4 linked regions of the Macaca fascicularis genome follow. The protein of the gene in region 3 purifies or fractionates together with the protein of the main gene of each other region. This does not show direct contact. Links are inferred from orthologs where the notes say so. Each region holds a gene or a part of one and is shown on either strand. Other genes may lie near its edges. The genes, in order: PPP2R1B, PPP2R2D, PTPDC1 and PPP2R2A.

The links.
Region 1: the proteins of PTPDC1 (region 3) and PPP2R1B purify together in Homo sapiens (affinity purification with mass spectrometry; 3 studies listed by BioGRID and IntAct, counting the BioPlex papers as one, with this or other methods). This does not show direct contact. The link is inferred for Macaca fascicularis from reciprocal best matches to the Homo sapiens genes PTPDC1 and PPP2R1B.
Region 2: the proteins of PTPDC1 (region 3) and PPP2R2D purify together in Homo sapiens (affinity purification with mass spectrometry; 5 studies listed by BioGRID and IntAct, counting the BioPlex papers as one, with this or other methods). This does not show direct contact. The link is inferred for Macaca fascicularis from reciprocal best matches to the Homo sapiens genes PTPDC1 and PPP2R2D.
Region 4: the proteins of PTPDC1 (region 3) and PPP2R2A purify together in Homo sapiens (affinity purification with mass spectrometry; 4 studies listed by BioGRID and IntAct, counting the BioPlex papers as one, with this or other methods). This does not show direct contact. The link is inferred for Macaca fascicularis from reciprocal best matches to the Homo sapiens genes PTPDC1 and PPP2R2A.

What each region holds. Positions count from the first base shown.
Region 1 is NC_088388.1:110,657,686-110,662,222, reverse strand, and holds part of PPP2R1B (serine/threonine-protein phosphatase 2A 65 kDa regulatory subunit A beta isoform), read left to right. Parts: exon of another isoform or gene 1-825; intron 826-2,390; coding exon 2,391-2,512; intron 2,513-4,537. UniProt on the Homo sapiens protein: The PR65 subunit of protein phosphatase 2A serves as a scaffolding molecule to coordinate the assembly of the catalytic subunit and a variable regulatory B subunit.
Region 2 is NC_088383.1:140,951,616-140,956,724, forward strand, and holds the start of PPP2R2D (serine/threonine-protein phosphatase 2A 55 kDa regulatory subunit B delta isoform), read left to right. Parts: upstream 1-1,691; 5' UTR 1,692-1,828; coding exon 1,829-1,835; intron 1,836-1,917; coding exon 1,918-2,010; intron 2,011-5,109. UniProt on the Homo sapiens protein: Substrate-recognition subunit of protein phosphatase 2A (PP2A) that plays a key role in cell cycle by controlling mitosis entry and exit. Involved in chromosome clustering during late mitosis by mediating dephosphorylation of MKI67.
Region 3 is NC_088389.1:124,332,861-124,337,397, forward strand, and holds part of PTPDC1 (protein tyrosine phosphatase domain-containing protein 1), read left to right. Parts: intron 1-631; coding exon 632-742; intron 743-4,167; coding exon of another isoform or gene 4,168-4,284; exon of another isoform or gene 4,285-4,537. UniProt on the Homo sapiens protein: May play roles in cilia formation and/or maintenance.
Region 4 is NC_088382.1:29,477,566-29,482,628, forward strand, and holds the start of PPP2R2A (serine/threonine-protein phosphatase 2A 55 kDa regulatory subunit B alpha isoform), read left to right. Parts: upstream 1-1,653; 5' UTR 1,654-1,964; coding exon 1,965-1,971; intron 1,972-3,818; coding exon 3,819-3,893; intron 3,894-5,063. UniProt on the Homo sapiens protein: Substrate-recognition subunit of protein phosphatase 2A (PP2A) that plays a key role in cell cycle by controlling mitosis entry and exit. Involved in chromosome clustering during late mitosis by mediating dephosphorylation of MKI67.

The sequences.
Region 1 (4,537 bases), on a different chromosome or scaffold from region 3:
AAAAGCCAAGTTTTATGAAATACTTTCAAATTTGTCCTACATTTGAAAAACAGAACAGAAATTGTAAATCAGAGGTTATCTGTCTGCATTTTAAACTGCCAAATTACCTTACAATAAGTTTCTATTTTATGACTTTGGGCCAAGAATTAAGTATTTTCCTAAGCAAAAATCTTTTTCTGTATTCTCATTTTATTATCTTATGCTATTATTCTATAAACATTTTAATTTTAGTTTCATGGGCCTTTATTTTTTATTACCTGCAAGTTCTTCATTGAATTTCAGACTTGAGAGACATTTGTCTTCATGAAACAGATTTGCATTGGAACCATTGCCTTGCTCTAGTTGGAAATACCATTGTTTTGGGGACAGACTTTCAAAATGCCCTTGTGTCTCCCCCTGAGGAGCCCTAAGCATTGACTTCTCCACCCTAAAACTGAGAGGGAGAGCGGGCCCTGGCTTTCTCAAGCATGGGTCGGGGGCTCAGCGGGGCCTCTGTCTTTTGTGGTGACCCCTCAGGGGTTTCATTGTTTTCTTCTGAGTGAAGCAAAAGATAATTTGCTTTGGCACTCTTTGGAGGAATTGTGCTTTGGCTCATAACTTGGCCATGTTCTCCATGAATTAGTTCTCCTATTTTTTTTTTTTAACTACCTTAAACTTAAGGGACAATTTCTCCTATCTTGATTTCACTGGAATATAGGCTTTAGGAGCTCTGTAAGGCTGGTATTTTTGTCTGTTTTATCTTCTGTATTGCCAGTGCCTGGAACAGTATCTGGTGCACATAATAGGTGCTCAATAAAAATGTGTTCAGTGGATGAATTTCTAAAATATCCTCTGATGTGTTGTGTACATGGAACAAATCACCAAAAGAACCAGACTGTGTCTTATTTTCCCATCGACACAAAGATTTTCCTGCTCTCAGGAAACAAGCTTTATGTGGCCCTTCTCTGGTCCCCTGGCTTAGACTACAGTTCTGTGTGGATTTGTCTGGTTGCTTCAAACATGTATTGGTTTTCATCCTTGGCAGCTTACATCAGTTGTTTGATTAGAAAAATGAAGCAGACACACACACATACACACACAAACATATTACCTGTGCCGTACAAATGTCTCAGCAGCAATGGAGTTCACCTTGGTGTTTCTCTGCAATTTGTGTGGGGTTTACTCCTCACAGGTTTAAGAGACCAGGTCTTGTTTCTTTCTCTGTGCTGCCAAGAAGATGTGAACCTGAGGATGCATCTTGTTGCATAAGAAGGAAAACAGGTGAATATGTGGTTTCTAATGAGGTCTTGTTGAAATAACGGGCTGCCCTCAGCTCACAGAAATACCACAGCTCGGCCACTGTGATGCAGAGCCCCAGGGGTCTTCGTCCGACAGCTTGTCCTGACTCAACAGTCGGCAGCCTGACCTTTGAGCTGGCTTGCCCAAGCGTTCAGGTTGTTTGCGTAGACCTCTAGGGAAGCAAGCCTGTCCTTCCTGGCCCGGCGGTTAACCTGGTGCACTTTTGTTCCTTTGTTAACCGTTGTGTTGTCACTAAACTGAAAGGCTGGGGCTTGCCCTTAGACGTCACATTGGCTCTGTCCCTGTGGCGACGGCAGGGCAGGGTGGCCAAACAGGTCAGGTGCTTGTCCTGTCCTCTTGCCTTTTACTTAAATTCCTCTGACTTAAAAATGGTGACACTCTTATCGTAAAGCTTCCTATTTTTCTCCACTGCTTGGATATGAAACTAGGGGGAGAGGCCCTGTTGCCCAGTGTTCTCCTGGTTTACCAGCTGAGGTGACTGCAGTCTGATGTGATGTAATTGTTTCCCTTTGATTCTCCAGTATTCCTGTTTCCATCCAGTTCCTTACTCCCCTCTTTCCTCTTCCCTCGCACGTCTCCCTCCAGTCCTCTGTACCTAGAATAGTCTCACTGTCCCCTGTTTGCCTCCACGAGCCTGCTGTTTCCAGGAAATTACATAACGTTCAGTTGGGATGGAAATCTTCTGGAGGACGAATAGAGTTTAATTCCTCATTGCGTCGAAAAGCCAAGTCATTTCTGTCTCCAGAGGTGTTCTCTTAAACTGATAGGAGTTCTGAAAGGAGCCAGGTCTTCCCTGTGGTTGGGGCTCTGGAGGCCATCAGTGACCAAGATGTAGGGAACAGCCAGGTGGACACCAAAAGGCCCTATGGGGCAGCGCTTTCCAGGGCCCCGAGGGAAAGGCACCTCAGCACGACCCTGGACTGCCCCAGCCTTCTCTGCCCAGTGCCCCATGGGCAGAGACTGTCGGCTGCTGCTGGACTTCCCAGCTCTGCTGGCACAACTGAGGGCATCCTGGCTGGGAAGCGCAGGTGGGCTTGGGAGGGATGTGCCCTGGTCAGGGACAGTTACAGCGCCACTGTCTGTGTCTCTAGTGGTGGCACAAAGGCTGAGGAAGCTAGATTTTCCTGTGAAGGACAGTGGAGAACCCAGTGTCCCTCGGGCTGACAAGAACCATTTCCCAAGACCCAGAGTGCCTGGAGAGGACACGGGGAAGGTAAGTGCCCCGGAAGCCTGGGGCCAAGTCCTGCCCTCAGGGCTGCGGGCAGCCAGGGTGGCCTGGTCTGCGGGGAGCTGCCGCAGGGTAGGCTGAGAAGCAGCTCCTCTCACTTTGTCCCCAGGGGAAGAGTCCAATATTAAGGGCCGGGAGTAGATTTTTAAAGCCTGTTGCCAGCTTACTTCGTTCTGGGAGTGCTTTCTGAGGGACGGGTTGCCGGCCAGAGCTGTCACTATTGTAGCTTGAGGCCCATCTCCCATCACCTCCCCGTCCAACAGCGAAGCCCATATAGAGGACACTGGTGGGATTTGGTGAAGAATTGCTTGTAAAAAGGGGCTGTTCCCATTTTCCTCACGTAATACAGAAGTGACTTGCCACAATTCCTCAGTTATTTCCATTCAAGATAAAAATAGTTGCAAGTTTCTCTGTAACAGCTCATGTTCTACAAGCCCCACTGGACGCCACTCTGTGTGGAAATGGTGTGAAAAGCCGCATTTCAGCAGTCGGTGCCAGCCACTGCCCCAGGGCCATTCATTAGGAGGGCGATTTGTGACTTACAGATATATTCAGAAAAGGAGAGCAGCAGGGCTTGGCTGCCTCGTGCTGATGCCAGACTGCGTTTAGTTCATGGGGAAAAATCTGACATTCTCACACCCACTCTAGTGGGTTCGCTTGGTGAAATTCTATGAAGTAACATCAAAAAGGCTGCCTTTTAAGTCACATGGCTTTTCATTTTATGTGAACCGAAACCATGAAAACGTTTTTTCCTGTTGTTGAGGTCCAGAATCGCCTTCGCTCATCTTAGAACGTTCTTGCCTTCCTGAGTGGCTGCACACTTGTCCGTGGGCAGCACCGGTCGTTCCTGCAGTGGCCACACAGTGGGAGGAAGGGCTGGGCGATGACTGTCCGGATGGATTCCCGAGTGGCCAGTCCTTGGAGTCCATGTTCTCTTCACAGAACTGGGCCGCAGGAAGGAGAACTTGGCTGAAGGAGTGGGGGGTGACAGTTACACATTTTTTAGGCCTAAACCACAGACTTCTTTGGGAAGAAAGGGGTTACATCTTCCTACAAATTCAGAGCCAACTGCTCATGCCATAAATGCGTGGTAAGACCCGATCTGAGCGTGGGTCATTGAGGTGGCCCTCCCATGGCTGACCTGCTCAGCTCTGACGGCCCGAGCTGTGCCTCTGCTAGCTGAGGAGTTATTGAGAATTAACTGTCGTTACTTGAGCCTTGGTCACTGCAGCCCCTTGTCAGGCACTTTAAATCTCATGTCATCCTCACCCACCCTAGGTGGTTAAGTGCTGTCATCATTTTTCAGTCCCTCATGAATCTCCCCCAACCTCTGTCATGTCTATTTGAGAATCTTTCTTTCCAGGAAAGGAGGCCCATTGGTGCTAGGCCTCTGAGGCTTCAGTTCATTTAACTCAGAAAAATCCCCCGCCCCATGACTCAGGGAGCCTTCCATGCATTTGTTTCACTTAAGGAAAATGACCCGAGGGGGAGATGGAAAGGGAATTGGCTGTTGCCAGGCAGAACCCTGTGTGTCAGGGGCCAGCAGCCAAGTGAGTGATCCAGGAAGTCATCCAATTGCAACCAGAAATTGTTCTTAACCCCTCACTGTCTAGGGTGTGTAGTGGACTTGCCAGTCTGTCCGAACGGGGTGAGAGTGAGCGCCTTGCTATTGAGAGCCCCGGGAACCATCCGTTCTCAGCCACCCTCAGGGCTCTCAGGGAGCCATTGGACATTCCAGGGGCTGGGCCCATCACTTGAAGAGAGAATGGAAGGGGCAAGAGCCAGTCTCCCTTGGTGAAGGGCGCCTCCTTGGCGCCCTTGAAGTCTGTGGAGGTGCCTGTGTGTTGGATGTCATGTGTGTCCCCCAGGCAGGATCTGCCAGGGAGCAGCGTGGGTCACCTCCCACACCGTGGTGCCCGGGGTCCGCGCGGCGGCTCGCTCCCGGACAGGACGCAGGGGGGCTCCCCGATGAAGCTGCTGGCAGGCCTTGTCAGGCGAGGGTTAACAGGG
Region 2 (5,109 bases), on a different chromosome or scaffold from region 3:
GCGAATCCCAGAGCCTCTGCTGTCAAAGTGCTTTTCTCTGAAATCTAACTGGTTCTCACCATCCAACCCCACGTTCACCACTCTATCCTCATCCCCATGCCTGGTCAGCCCAGCTGGCCACTTGATTGGTCTCCCTGCTTCCTCTCTTGGGGTCCCCACAGGCTATTCTCAGCAGAGCATCCACGGTGGCTCTGTGAAAGCCCCAGTCCATCACGATGCTCTTCTGTTCATGAGCCCATCTCACTCAGAATTCAAGTCCCCTAAATGGCCTGCCCACCGTCCATCCTCCTCCACTTACCTCCCTGCCTTGACTCCAACCCCTGGCCTCCCCTCCACTCACTCTGCACCCATGCGGCTTCCGGCTGCCTCCTGCCCATGCCAGGCATGGCCCTCCTTCCTGTCCTGGCACTTGGTAGTCTCTCCTCCTGGCCAAGCTTTCCTAGACGTCTGCATGCTTACTCGTTATCCCTGAGTCTTCTCCAGTCACCCCCGTGCAAGATTCCAACTCTCTCCATACACGTTTCCTTCTCTGATTTTTCTCTCCAGCTCCGACTGGAGTGGACGAATGTTCCTGATTTGCAGCGACTGTCTTTTAGTGGTGCAATACCATCAGCGCCCACTGCAGCTATACTGAAAGTAGTTCTGATTCCGGACATCAATCCCATAGGGACAGTCTCCCTGATGATAGCTCGACTTCACATTTTTCAACTTTACGATGGGTAGATTGGGTATTAGATGCATTTTTGACTTAGGAAGAGCTTATTGGCGGGGAGGGTAGCCCCACTGCAAGTCGAGGAGCACCCGTAATCGCTCAGTATGCCAGAGAAAACCCCCCGCAAATGAAGAAACGATCGGCCCTGTTTCCCCAAGACTGCACTGGGAGCTCCGAGAACCTGTAAGGTAGCCATCTGGTGAGCAACGGTGCGCTATGAAAGGGAGGTGGACGGGGTTGGGAGACCGAGGCAGGCAGACGGCTCGAGCCCAGGAGTTCGAGACCAGCCTGAGCAACATAGGCCCCCGTCTCTACAAAAAATTAAAAAATTCGCGAGCCTGGCAGCGCGTGCCTGTGCTCGCAGCTACTTCCGAGGTGAAGCAGTAGGATGGATTGAGCTCAGGAGGTCGAGACTTTAGAGAGCCGAGATGACGCCCCTACACTTCGGCTCGGGGTACCAAGCGAGACTCCGCGCGGGGGGCAGTGGGCGGGAGGTAGGGCTCAGGTGCGGCGCGCTCAGGTGAGGACGGCCCACATGCCCGCCCACCGCCGCCAAGCGCGCCCTCCATTGGCGGTTCGGTGGAGAACCCACACTCCCATTGGCCGATGCGGGATGGGGGCGTGTTCGGCCCAGCGGCGCCCGGAAGGCGTGTCCGGCCGCAGCCCAGGCCCTCCCGGAGTTCCCGGAGAGTAGGGGCGTTCGGCGGCGCTAGTCTTCAGGGGAGCGCCGGGCGCACACCGGACCACTACGGGAGGCCTAGCGCCGAGGGCCGAGGACTTGGCCTGCGCCCGCCGACCCCAGCTACCCTCTGCAGTCGCCCAGGCGTCCCTTCCCCCCTAGCCGAGCGGCGCCGGGCCCAGGTCCGGGGTCGGCAAGCGCAGGCGCATTGGACGCCCCCGGCAACCCCCGCGTCCCGCCCCGTCCGCTGCCGGTTCGAGGAGGCGGAGGGCGATGACGTCATCGAGCGGGGCGACGGGCATTGGGCGCCATTTTGAAAAGGGAAAAAAATCCCTCCCCGGCGGCGGCGGCGGCCGGGGCTGAGCGCTCGGCTGTAGCGGCGCGGAGGCCGTCTCCCTAGTCCGCCGCGGTCCCCGCCCGTCCCGCCGCCGGCTGCCATGGCAGGTGAGGGGCCTGCGCGGGCCGGCGGGGGCCGCGGGGGCGGGCGGGGGCCGCGGCCGGCCTGACCGCCCCGTTGTGTTTGCAGGAGCCGGAGGCGGCGGCTGCCCCGCGGGCGGCAACGACTTCCAGTGGTGCTTCTCGCAGGTCAAGGGGGCCATCGACGAGGACGTGGCCGAAGGTGAGGCCCGCGCCGCGCCGCGCCCCGCCCCGGGACCTTGGCGGGCAGCCCCCAGGCCGACCGCGGCCTCCGGGCCCCAAGCGCCCAAGGAAGGCAGGCAGGAGGATGGGGGCCGGGCGGGGCAGGGGCTGGGGGCCGTGGTGGGGGACCATCGTGGGGCGGCCGTCGTCTGTCCGCTGTCCTGGCCCGCGGGGCACGGGCGGAGGCGCCGGGCCCGCGGCGGGGCTTATGTAAGTCACCAAGGTCACGGGCGGCCGGGCCCTCCGAACCCAGCGCCTGGGGCTGCCTCCTGCCCGGGGCGGAATCGCGGAGACCGCGGCGGAGTCGGGGACGGGAACGGAGTCCAGATTCTGCGCTCAGGCAGCGCGGCACAATGGCCCGGAGGATGGGAACGCGCCTAGGGCTGGGTCGGGGCCTCGGCCCCCGCCCGGCTCTGCGTTTCCTCGCCGGTGCGCTCTTGAGCAAGCTGGTTGCCTCGGTTTGTCCACCCTTAACAAGAGAGCTGGACGCCCTGATTGTTAAGGTCTGCTTTCTGAGGTTCTAACATCCTTGAATTTTACTGTGAAGTATTGCTCCTTTCTCTATTGATATATTTTGAAGTCTCTACTCCAGATTTTAATCTTGAACTTTATGGTATTACTGGAAGTTCGCTGGTCATTTCCTTAAATCATACCCTTAAATTGGTCCAGGCACAAAGTTTTAGGGTGGTAGGAGGAAACTGGGGAGTGCCTCCCGCCTCAGCTTCCCGTGAAGCTTGCATGTCACCCTCGAGTGAAAAAGCTGTGTAGCTTTCCTTCTTCACCGTTGAATGGAGAACTTGGTCGAGTCTTAGAAGTTTGATTAATATTTCAGATTTAGAGCCATAGTGACTTTTTTGTTGTTTATATATCTTACTGAACATTGTAAACCTTTAACCTTTTCTTAAAAATGATTTGTGTTTGCACCAAATACACCTTTCCTGCCTCAAGTTACTAGAAACCCCTTGTCAGACATTCTGTTCACTTCCCTCCATCTCAGCCCCTCCCATGACATTTTACTCCCTCTTCCCTACCCTGTACCTTTCCCTGGCAGTGTCTGGTTTGGTGCATGACCCCTGAGGACATCTGGAAGTTCTGAGCCCCCTGGCACAAACAGGGCCTAGGTTATTAAGCAGGTGAAACTGGGCTCTAAGAAATGCATAATGTATACTGTTTGAGATTAAAACTAGGTACATTTTATGTGATGTAAAAAGTTTATTGATTTTATTTATTTAAAATACGTTACCTTTTTTTGTTTGATTTTGTATATGCCAAGCAAGTTTGAAGTGTGACTTCTATCGCAAGTAAAGCAAAACTTGTTTGGGAGTAAGGAAGGTGAGAGGGCTTAATGCCTGCCTTAATTTCTGTTTTTTTTTTTTTTTTTTTTTAACTCTTTTTTTTTTTGGAGACAGGGTCTCACTTTGTAGCTCAGGCTGGATGGAATGCAGTGGCGTCATCTGGGCTCACTGCAACCTCTGCCTCATAGGCTCATAGGCCCATCTGAGCCTCTGGAGTAGCTAGGACCACAGACATGCACGCACCACCACACCAGGCTAATTTTTGTATTGTCGTAGAGGATTTCACCATGTTGCCCAGGCTGGTCTGAACTCCTGGGCTCAAGTGGTCTGCCCACATCATTCTCCCAAGGTGCTGAGATTACAGGCGTGAGCGACCACACCTGCCTGGTTTCTTTACTTGAAAAAAAAAAATGATAAACTGAATGAATTAAAATTTAAGTATAACTAAAGTAGTGTATTTTAACTGTGAATTTACACATGTGAAAATAGCATTCTTTCTTTAAAAAAAAATTCTTGGGCCAGGTATCGTGGCTCATGCCTATAATTCCAGCACTTTGGGAGGCCAAGGTGGACAGATCACTTGAGGTCAGGAGTTTGAGACCATCCTGGCCAACATAGTGAAACCTCGTCTCTTTTAAAAATACAAAAGTTAGCTGGGCGTGGTGGTGCATGCCTGTAATCCCAGCTACTTGGGAGGCTGAGGCAGGAGAATCACTTGAACCCAGGTGGTGGAGGTTGCAGTGAGTGGAGATGGCGCCACTGCACTCCAGCCTGGGCAATAGAACAAGGCTCCATCTCAAAAAAAAAAAAAAAAAAAAAAAAAAAAAAAAAAAAAACTTGACAAATACTTTGTTCTCTGAATTAAACTGATGGGAACTTTTTGCAGTTTTAAATCCCTATTTTAAGTTAAATTTTGAGTAAATCCAAAAGTTTGGTATTTTGAGTTGTCGTGGTTTATTTTTTGTAACATTGTTTTGTGGTAATTATCCACACGTTTTGGTTATTGTAGGTATTCACAGCTTTCTATTTTAATCCATGTATGCTTTGGCCATAGTAACCCATCCAGATTAACACATTTATAACTCACCATCGATTTGTCCCATAGTTGTGATACTGTTGGTTTGTATGAAGACCACACAGTCAGTGATGATGAAGGGAAGTGTAGTCGTTGGTCACCAGTGATTGCTGAGCAGCAAGAATTGAGAAGCTGGTCATGCCCAACGCAACCTTGAGGGAGAGATGTTGGTGAGAGATAAGAGATGGGTGGCCAGGTGTGGTGGCTGACACCTGTAATCCCAGCACTTTGGGAGGCTGAGGCGGGTGGATCACTTGAGGTCAGGAGTTTGAGACTATCCTGGCCAACATGGCGAAACCCCATCTCTACTAAAAATACAAAAATTAGCCAGGTGTGGTGACACCCACCTGTAGTTCCAGCTACTCAGGAGACTGAGGCAGGAGAATCGCTTAAACCCGGGAGGTGGAGGTTGCAGTGAGCCGAGATTGTGCCATTGCACTCCATCCTGGGCGTCAGAGTGAGACTCCATCTCAAAAAAAACAAACAAAAAAAATAGAGATGGGCAGTTCACAGGGGTTTTTATCGTGCACTGCTGCGCAGGCTGTAGAACTTAAGGTATAGCAGATTTTATTTGTTTAGATTTGTGGCTCGTGAGGCATTTTGTTCTTGAAGGCTCTGTTCTGGGCCTAGTTCAGCTCTGTAGAGCTCTACTGCAGCCCTGCACTCTGGCCGTCTTTCTGCCCTCTCTACAATGGGTAAGGAGAAAGGG
Region 3 (4,537 bases):
CATTACATCTTGGATATGTATTGCTGAAGGTGATGGAATTTCTCCTTTGCTAAGGTGAACAGCCCCCAGGAGTGAAGTCAGTGGGCGCATTTTTAAGTATCTTACCCCCTTAGGTTGGAGGCTAAGCACTTAAGCACTGCATTGCTCCTGGGGGACTGGGGTTGCCCTTGTCCTTTTCTTTGTCTACCCCCTCCCTCCATATCATCTGCAGTGGCTGGGTACCCAGATCCTGACCACTCAGTGCCCAGTTAGTTAGTCCATGTATCTCTATGACATGTCGCCATCTACTAGACAACTGACATGATTATATCCAGAAACAACAAGAATGGGAAAATCTGTTCAATTCACGGCAAGAGAAACACTTGGTTTAAAATTGCACTGATCTTCAAATTTAGTTTTACTTTGTGAAATAGCTAGCCAGCTTTGATATTATCTCCTGAAAACTTTTCAAATTATATTAACACATAATAATAAACATTTGTTGATGTTTAGATATTTTGTTAGATATTTTGGCATTTGACATTACGAGTACTTGGTCACAAACCAATTCTTGACTCTAAGATAGTTTTGAATCGATTTATTGAGGCGTTTTTTGAACACATTTTTAAAATTTTGATTTCTACAAAAACAGGGACAGCACCAGACTATTCTCTGCGTGTTGCACTGCATAGTGAACCTGCAGACAATTCCCGTGGATGTGGAGGAAGCTTTCCTTGCCCATGCCATTAAGGCGTTCACTAAGGTGGGTCACACTCTTCTTTCCCCTCTCTGAACCACAGATCAGCATCATTTTTGTAAATCAGAATCCAGAGGTCACCATCCTCCTCTAAAATAAAACATGTATGTGTACGTTTTCCCTTCATGGAAATCTGTTTGACATTTCTTCTAAGTAGTTGCAGAGTTTTAACCAAAAAAAAAAAAGTTTCCAAACAATGATCTTAGGAAAAACTGAACTGTGGGTTTTTTGAAGGAGAATGTTGGAACAAAGAGCTTTTATATAAAAGAAAGAGAGAAATAACTGAGTATTGAATACATATTTTTAGATCATGTGCCTAATCAGAGTCAGAGAATCTTTGCTTGTCGAGCCAGTTCTACCTTGGGTTTAAGTAAGAAACCATTTATTGAAAAGTAAACATCCTGGCCGGGCGCGGTGGCTCAAGCCTGTAATCCCAGCACTTTGGGAGGCCGAGACGGACGGATCATGAGGTCAGGAGATCGAGACCATCCTGGCTAACACGGTGAAACCCCGTCTCTACTAAGAAATACAAAAAAACTAGCCGGGCGAGGTGGCGGGCGCCTGTGGTCCCAGCTACTCGGGAGGCTGAGGCAGGAGAATGGCGAGAACCCGGGAGGCGGAGCTTGCAGTGAGCTGAGGTCCGGCCACTGCACTCCAGCCTGGGTGACAGAGCGAGACTCCGTCTCAAAAAAAAAAAAAAAAAAAAAAAAGAAAAGTAAACATCCCACATTGCTGATTCAGTACTGAGTCCTGGTTGGCAAATCCTAAGGAAAGAGTTAAAAAAAAAACAAACAGGTTTTATTTCTAAAAGCCCATCCTTTTGGATGCAGCAGTTTTTCCTGGCTGAAGAAAGAAGAAGCCAGGTTCTTACCGAGAGAAAAGTTTCCCCTTACCCCATCAACTATAATTTGTTTATTACTTCTCATTGATATGAAAGTATCTATAATTTGTTTGTTACGTCTCATTGATATGAAAGTGTCGTTAAAGAACCCAGCTTTTGAATGACAACATCTGTGGTAACATTAATAAGTTATTAATTATACTCATTCACAAGTTGTGAAGATTCTTCCTTTTTAATATTTGTCCAGTCTGCTTCCCCTCCACTCTTTCCAGAGTGATGTTCTTACTTCAGGCCTTCCTTTTTCCTCATCTGGATTCTATGGCACTAACCACTGACATCTTTTCAATCTGTTCTCAACTGTTTCCAGAGTCAGTAGTCTCAAATCCAAACCACGTGGTCCTTTACATCTGTATTTACATTTTCATAGACTGAAAGGCTACCCTCCATGTGAAGAAGGTTGTAGTTTGGTGTTTAAGAAAGTAAACAGAGCCGGGAATGGTGGCTCATGCCTGTAATCCCAGAACTTTGGGAGGCTGAGGTGAGCAGATTATGAGATCAGGAGATCGAGACCATCCTGGCCAACATGGTGAAACCCCATCTCTACTAAAATACAACAATTTAGCTGGGCGTGGTGGAGGGCGCCTGTAGAATGTTCAAGAATGGCTTGAACCCGAGAGGCGGAGGTTGCAGTGAGCCAAAATCGCGCCACTGCACTCCAGCCTGGCAACAGAGTGAGACTCCATCTCAAAAAAAAAAAAAGGTAAACAATTCAGACCATTGTTAATATTAATAAGGAGTTTTTTTGCAAATAGGATATACAGTGTAGTTATAGATAAAATTAAATTCTGAGCTTGACTGAAAAAAAATCTTAAGATTGGTCTCTCTGAAAGCAGTAGGAATTCTTTACAACTTCTGTTGGCCTTTTAAGGGGATATGAAGGAAAAGTTAGAGATAGCAATTGTTCAAAATCCGTCTATAGAAAATGTTAGGAGACAGTTTTCCTTGGGTCTCTCAGGTCTCCTCATAGTCTGATGAGCAGATGCCCTGACCACTGTCTTTGGGGATCAACTCTTCACTAGTGTCTGGAGAGCTCTGCCTGGAGAACAGAAGGCACGTGTTCTGACTTCCCGGATAATAAAAATGTTTCCCTTCGGGGCAAAGGTTGGCAGAATTTTTTGCAGCCCCCTTGTGAAACATTAGAGTTTCCTAAGCTTGGGGCTCCTCAGCTATGAGGCAAACCCCGTGCTTGTGCAGCCTTCACCTAGGCCCCTCTGCATTGCCCCCATGAGACTTGGGAGACAAAGAGAACCCATGTGAACATGAAGCACGTGCAGCTGTGAGAAATAAAAGTTGTCTGTCTCTGACCCAGAAATCTCGTATCTTCTACCAGTGTCCGTAACACTGGCAAGCTAACAGGTCAAAGTCAGATCCTTTACAGTTGTTGACAGAGGGAACAACCTTCCATTTTCAAAATTTATCAGAGGAGAAATTCCAGAAGGAGAGAAGCAGTGATTGTGTGACCCTGATTCTTTCCCAGGGAGTCACACACTATTCTGGGAAGGGGGCTGAGGGTGGGTACTTGCTCTGGTTCTCAGTTCTGCCATCACTCCTAACCCAGAGTATGGTAAACTTGGGTGAAAAAATGCAAATATGTGTAAATAGTGCTCTCCCATCAAGGGGAAAGGAAATTTACCTTTATCAAGGTGGGGTTTGTTTGTTTGTTTGTTTTTTGAGACAGGGTCTCACTCTGTCGCCCAGTCTGGAGTGCAATGGCACAATCTCAGCTCCCTGCATCCTCTGCCTCCTGGGCTCATGCATTTCTCCCACCTCAGCCTCCCAAGTAGCTGGACAACAGGCACGTGCCACCATGCCTGGCTAATTTTTTTTAATTTTTTGTAGAGATGAGGTTTTGCTCTATTGCCCAGGCTGGTCTCGAACTCCTGGGCTCAAGCGACCCTCCCACCTCCGCCTCCCAAAGTGCTGGGATTACAGGCATGAGCCACCACGCCTGACCAGTTGAGGTTTGTATATATGTGCCAAACATATGTTAGACTCACAGATACGCTATCCTACGAAGGTGGGTATTATTATCTCTGTTTTACAAAGGAGGAGATCGAGGTCCAGAGAGGTTGGGTATGAGATGAGGGCACATAGCTAGCAGGTGGGGAGCTGGGCTTCTATTCACGTCACTCTGATTCTGTCCAGAGTGGCCACAGGGCCTCTTAGCAGGACGTATACAGCTGATGTGCTGTTTTAATACAGGAAACTTTTCCCTTATACCATCAATAATAGTCTCAAAAAATTCACTTCACACCCACTGTTGACTTGCTTCATGTCTGGGTGTGTATAATTAGACTAAATATCCAGGCACTAGATTTAATTTTGGGGTTTTCATTCATAAGTTTGGTATTGACATGGTTGGCAGTTCTAATATAGTCTTTCAACTAAAATGTGTGAAACTTATTATGTGTATTTTATATAGAGTTTTGTTCGTAAGTCTGTTTTTTTCTCCACCCCCTCCTTCTCTCAAAATAGGAACTAGTTAAAATTCTTGTTACAGTGTCCTGAATATAAATTTCTTTATCACCAGGTTAATTTTGATTCTGAAAATGGACCAATAGTTTACAACACCCTGAAGAAAATATTTAAGCACACGCTGGAAGAAAAAAGAAAAATGACAAAAGATGGCCCTAAGCCTGGCCTCTAGCTTTCCCTCGTGGTGAATATTTCAGACCTAAAGATCCAGATAGTATCTCTGTTCATATGTGAATAAGTCGAAGTTTGTGGGGCTACTTTTTCTCATAGCACTTTATTTTGAATGTCGTTGATTTGTGCTGAGAATGGTTGTCCCTATTTGAACCAATTATTTATTTTTAAATATCCTTGAGCTACATTTTTGTTTTGAAAAATTGCCATAAATTTGGTGCCACTTTCTTTATTTGACTGAGTTAATATTATTG
Region 4 (5,063 bases), on a different chromosome or scaffold from region 3:
ATGCTTTTACAGGTGTTTTTCATGTGTAAAACGTGCATATCTATCTCCTAGGAGCATCGTGGAGATGGAATGAGATATGTAAATTATGCTGTATATAGCAACTGCATCATTAGAGCATCTTTCAACAGAAGTGCACATCCCCTCATAGCTGATGACTGGCATTTCCTGTTCATTTTTTTCCTTCTACCTCTTAACCTTACTGACGATGCTTTCAATACAAATCTAATAACAACGGCAGCTAACATTTATCATGTGCTCAAATTAAGTCATTTCATCTCCCCAACAATCCTATCAGGTAGGACTGTCATCTTCATCTCCTGAGCTTTGGAATCACATTAGGCAGCCTGGCTTCAGAGTCCAGCACTTTTTGTGTTTTTGTTTTTGTTTGGACAGGATCGCATTCTGTCTCCCAAGCTGGAGTGCAGTGGTGTGATCACACAGCCCACTGCAGCCTTGACCTACTGGGCTCAAGCAATCCTCCAGCTGCAGCCTCCTAGTAGCACTATAGGCACGCCATCATACCTGGCTAATTTAAAAAAACTTTTTTTTTTGTAGAGATGGGTCTCCCTATGTTCTCTAGGCTTAACTCGGAACTCCTGGCCTCAAGCGATCCTCCCACCCCGGCTTCCCAAACTGCTGGGACTGCAGACGTGAGCCACTGCTCTTAAACGCCCAGCTCTTAAGCACGCAGTACACCACGTTTAGCTGGAGAGACGCCAAGTCACTTCTTGGGCCATACCCTTCTCATCACAAACTCAGGTTTCTCTTACAAACCACCCTTAGTGCCTGCAGTGCCCAGGACTCCTGCCTTGGTTCCTGGGGCCCACGCGAAGGTGACTTAACTTACCTAGATGGAACCAGCCCAATGGTGTCCCTCTGAACACCGTGAACTTTCACCCCGGCTGAGCAGTAAGTCTGCACCGCTCTCCCTTTCTTTGCGGCCTCAGGGCTGACCCAAAGTGACAGCCCTTTTTACTTACTCTTCCTTTTTACTTACTTTCCTAAGTAGTAGTGCGAGTATTTTTTTTTTTTGACGCGGAGTCTTGCTCTGTTGCCCAGGCTGGAGTGCAGTGGCGCGATCTCGGCTTACTGCGACCTCTGCCTCCCGGGTTCAAGCAATTCTCACACCTCAGCCTCCCTCGTGGCTGGGATTACAGGCGCACACCACCACACCTGGCTAATTTTTGTATGTTTTTTTAGTAGAGATGGGGAGTCACCATGTTGGCCAGGCTGGTCTCGAACTCCTGACCTTGTGATCCGCCCGCCTCAGCCTTCCAAAGTGCTGGGATTACAGGCGTGACCCACGGTCCCCGGCCCTGGTATTCCTAAAAGACGTAGGACCCCACGAATCCCTGCAGGCGAGGACGTAAACTGGACTGCTGAGCCCGCCCCAGAGCTCCCGCGCTAGTGCGAGAGGCTGGGACACTGCCAGGTGCATACAGCCGCGGCCTGGCGCAGGCGGAGCGGGCAGATGGGGTGCCGTGGACAGACGCGGGAGCGGCGCAGGCCCCGCCGGTCCGGACGCGGAGGGCGGGGCACGAGCGCAGCAGGAAGGGGGCGTGGCCAGGAGCAGGCCCGGCCGCTCCCCCGCCCCTCCCCCTCTGCTCTCCGCCCCAGCCTGGCAGCTCCGCCCTCTGCGTGACGTCACTGGCCAGGCCAGCCGGCGCCATTTTGAAAGTGGAGTCGCCTACCCCTGCCGCTGCCGCCGCCGCCGTCGCTGTCGTAGCCGCCGCTGCCGCTGCCGGAGAAAGAGCACGAGCGGGGAAGCCCCAGAGTGAAATCTAGCATCCTGCCGGCTGGTCTGCCCGCCCCTCCTTCCTTTTCCCCCGGCCCCCGTCCCCTCCCCCCGCAGGTGCCATCCGCCGCCATCCGCCCTCTCTACCCCCCCATCCCCAGGTGAGGGGGGTGAGTTCAGGAAGCGGAGACCCCGAGGAACCCAGCAGGGTCACCATTTGCAGCGCAACATGGCAGGTAAAGGAGAAATCCCCCTCGCCCCCTGACAAGGCACCGCTTCCTCCTTTTTCCCTCCATCACCCCCTAGCGACCGCCCGCGCCTCGCGCGGAGCCATAGGACGCCCCTCGGGTTTGAGGGAGTAGGGTCCAGAGGGGTGGGGTGGGGGCGGGGAGGGCTCCCAGGAGGCAAGTGGTCACAGTGAGAGTCACTGGGCTTGGAGAACGGGGCTGGCGCCGTGGCGGTGGTGGGGGTGGGGTGTGCCGGCGAGCTTGGGGTGAGGCGTGGGTGGGGCGGGGTGGGGGCGCGTGCAGATTTGTCCCTCCCGCTCGGGAGCCTGGTGGATCCTCTCCCACCTCCCCACCTCGCCCCTCGCCTTTTTTTTTTTTTCCTGCAGGTCTTCATTTAATTTGTATTTTTTCCCCTGCTGCAAGTCTTCTTGGGTGTATATACACATTTATTTTGCACCGAGAAGGAAGAGCGCTTTACAAGTTAAAATACAATGGGGGCATATGTGTATTTTTCCCCCCACTGTGGATGCCAGTATTTTTGAGACTGGAAGCCTAAATTTTTTGTTTCGAACCATTTCGTTTCCGTTTCTTCCCTCTTACCGCCGAAGAGTGCAAGGCCTTTCATGTACAGCAAGTTGCATGAAAATAATTTAAACTTTCCGTTTAGTATGTTAGCTTTTTTGCAGATGTCCTTTTCCCAAAAGGGTTTGGTAGAGTTAGTTAAAATAGTTGCGGAGTTCAGAGATATAAATAGCTAGGAGGAGAGAGATTTAGGTAGAAGCTTTGAAAGGGAGGGGAAAGGATGTAGAGAGAAAATCAGTTTAGGAATAAATTTAGCAAGGAATAGGGGTGATAGGGGAGAGAGAAGTAATGTAATTGCTTTGAGAATTCTTTTTGTACATGTTGGTGTTGCTAAATCTTTTCCTTCATGTAGTAGAATCAATTCCGGATTTAGATTCAGTTTCTTTCTCCCTAGAGCCCCAGGACATTTTCACGATTTCGACCTCAGTACTTGCACGTGAAATAGAAACATTCCGCGATGAGACCAGTTTTCCGTGCTATTATATTCATTATTTAGATAATTAAACCTTTTGAAAAAGTTAACGTGTCGGATTGACTTGTTTGCTATAAATAAGTTGCTTGTTGGCCTTGTTGAATAATGAAATGAGATTAAAATTGTTTTGCACGAGATGACATGTTAGCGAAATGAATTCTTTGCCAGGTCCTTTGGAGTCGAGAGATGAGGTGAAGGGAGGCAGAACAAGCTTCCTTTGACAGTCTCTTTAGCAGCATTCATTTCGGTTTCTTTTCCTCTCTGTCTGGAGCCAGTGATTTGCTGGTAATGAATGCAAAGAAATGGGTGTAGTGTTTGCTGTGTGTGCACTTTGGTGATAGGGTTCATATGAATCATTACTTCTTACCCAGGCAGTAATGTTCCCGAAGTTTTCTCTTCGTTCTATGTTTCATGGTAGTTAACCTTATTAATTCTTCTGCAGGCTTTTTGTACACTTAAAAAGAAAACTCTTTAACTCTTGGTATTTACTTTTTTTCTGGTAGGTCTTGCCTGAATGTAAGGCTTTTACTGTATTTGAGAGGAGGTTTGTGAACAGATGTATAATGACCGTAGATCATGTGCCTTTAAATAATTTCATACCTGGAATGTTTGTTTTTTTCTTTTTAGTACAGTACCAACTATTGGGGTCTCATCTTTTTCCAAACTGGTACTCTTGGTGGTAGTTGTATGTGTGGGCAGAACTAGGCTGTTAGTATCATGCCAACCATGGATACCATCTCTGTGTTTACGAGAGTCAACATAAGCAGAACTCGGTTTTAATTGGTATGTTTTATTTTTCCAGGAGCTGGAGGAGGGAATGATATTCAGTGGTGTTTTTCTCAGGTGAAAGGAGCAGTAGATGATGATGTAGCAGAAGGTAAGAAAGCGTTTAATAATGCAAATTTTGGATATGTAATTTTTTCAGAAATGTTTCCTACTGAGGGATTTCCTTGAAGCCGAAACTACTATAAATTCAAGATGATTTTGTGTTTATTGTCCAAGAAATGTAAGAACAGTTTTAAAAGTTACCTTTCTGAGAAACAGCCTTAAATTTCATTTATTTATGCCTTGTTTTTATTATTTTTTCCTCTGAATTTATATGAAAGGTGATGAGACATACAAAATCCTCACGTGAAAGCTGTGAGCTGCATTTAAGGGTTTCTTTGTTATGTAAATTCCACATACAAATAAATGGCGATGCGTTTTTATGTTTGTACATTGTTTTAGATAAGTAAATTGAAATAGGTGCCATCAGCATTTGGTTCAGAAACATTCTTAACAGCGTCTTTGATTTTTATGGGAAGATTTTTAACTACTTTTGAATTTGTCCACTTTGGGAGTGTGATGCTGATTGGCATATTCTGTGAAGAAATGATAGCTCAGGTTATTCGTTTTGTTGTCTTTCTAGTATTTAGGTGGATAAGACAGTAACAATGCTATGCATATATTGCTTGTCTTCTAGGAAGCGTTATTCTTGTGCAGGTAGAAACTGTGTTTGATCAGTTGAAGTGCTTAACGTCTAATTTTCTCCCCATATTTGTTTACTAATGTGTTTCAGAAGTTTAAGTTTTGGAACTTCAAGGTTTTGCATTCATTTGAGATGGTCTTAGGCAGCAGAGGCATTTCCCACAAAGTTGTTGCATTGTTTCATTCCTCAGAAATGTTGACGTTTTTTAATGGTATTGTGTGTCTTGAATTACAGTAGGAATTTTCCAAACAAAACTCATAAATTTAAACATGTACTTTTGAATTTTAAAAATTTGGTGAAAATTCATAAACCTTTTTTCCCTAGATTGTGTTGTCCTCATATTTCTGACCTGTCTGTAGGGTACTCTTTTGGAGGTTTTTTTTCAGTTGGTGGGTGGTAGCCGAATGCTTTTATTTGCTTGTGTCAGTGTCATTCTTAATGAAGTGTCTGTTTTAGAGTGTGGTGAATCCTATGGGAAGCCAACTGGCACAGGTTATACTTGTCATATTTTACAGAGCTCGCTCACGTTCCTTTTCTTTTGAATCCTTATCTGTTTCTTAGATGAGAAACCAGAGACAA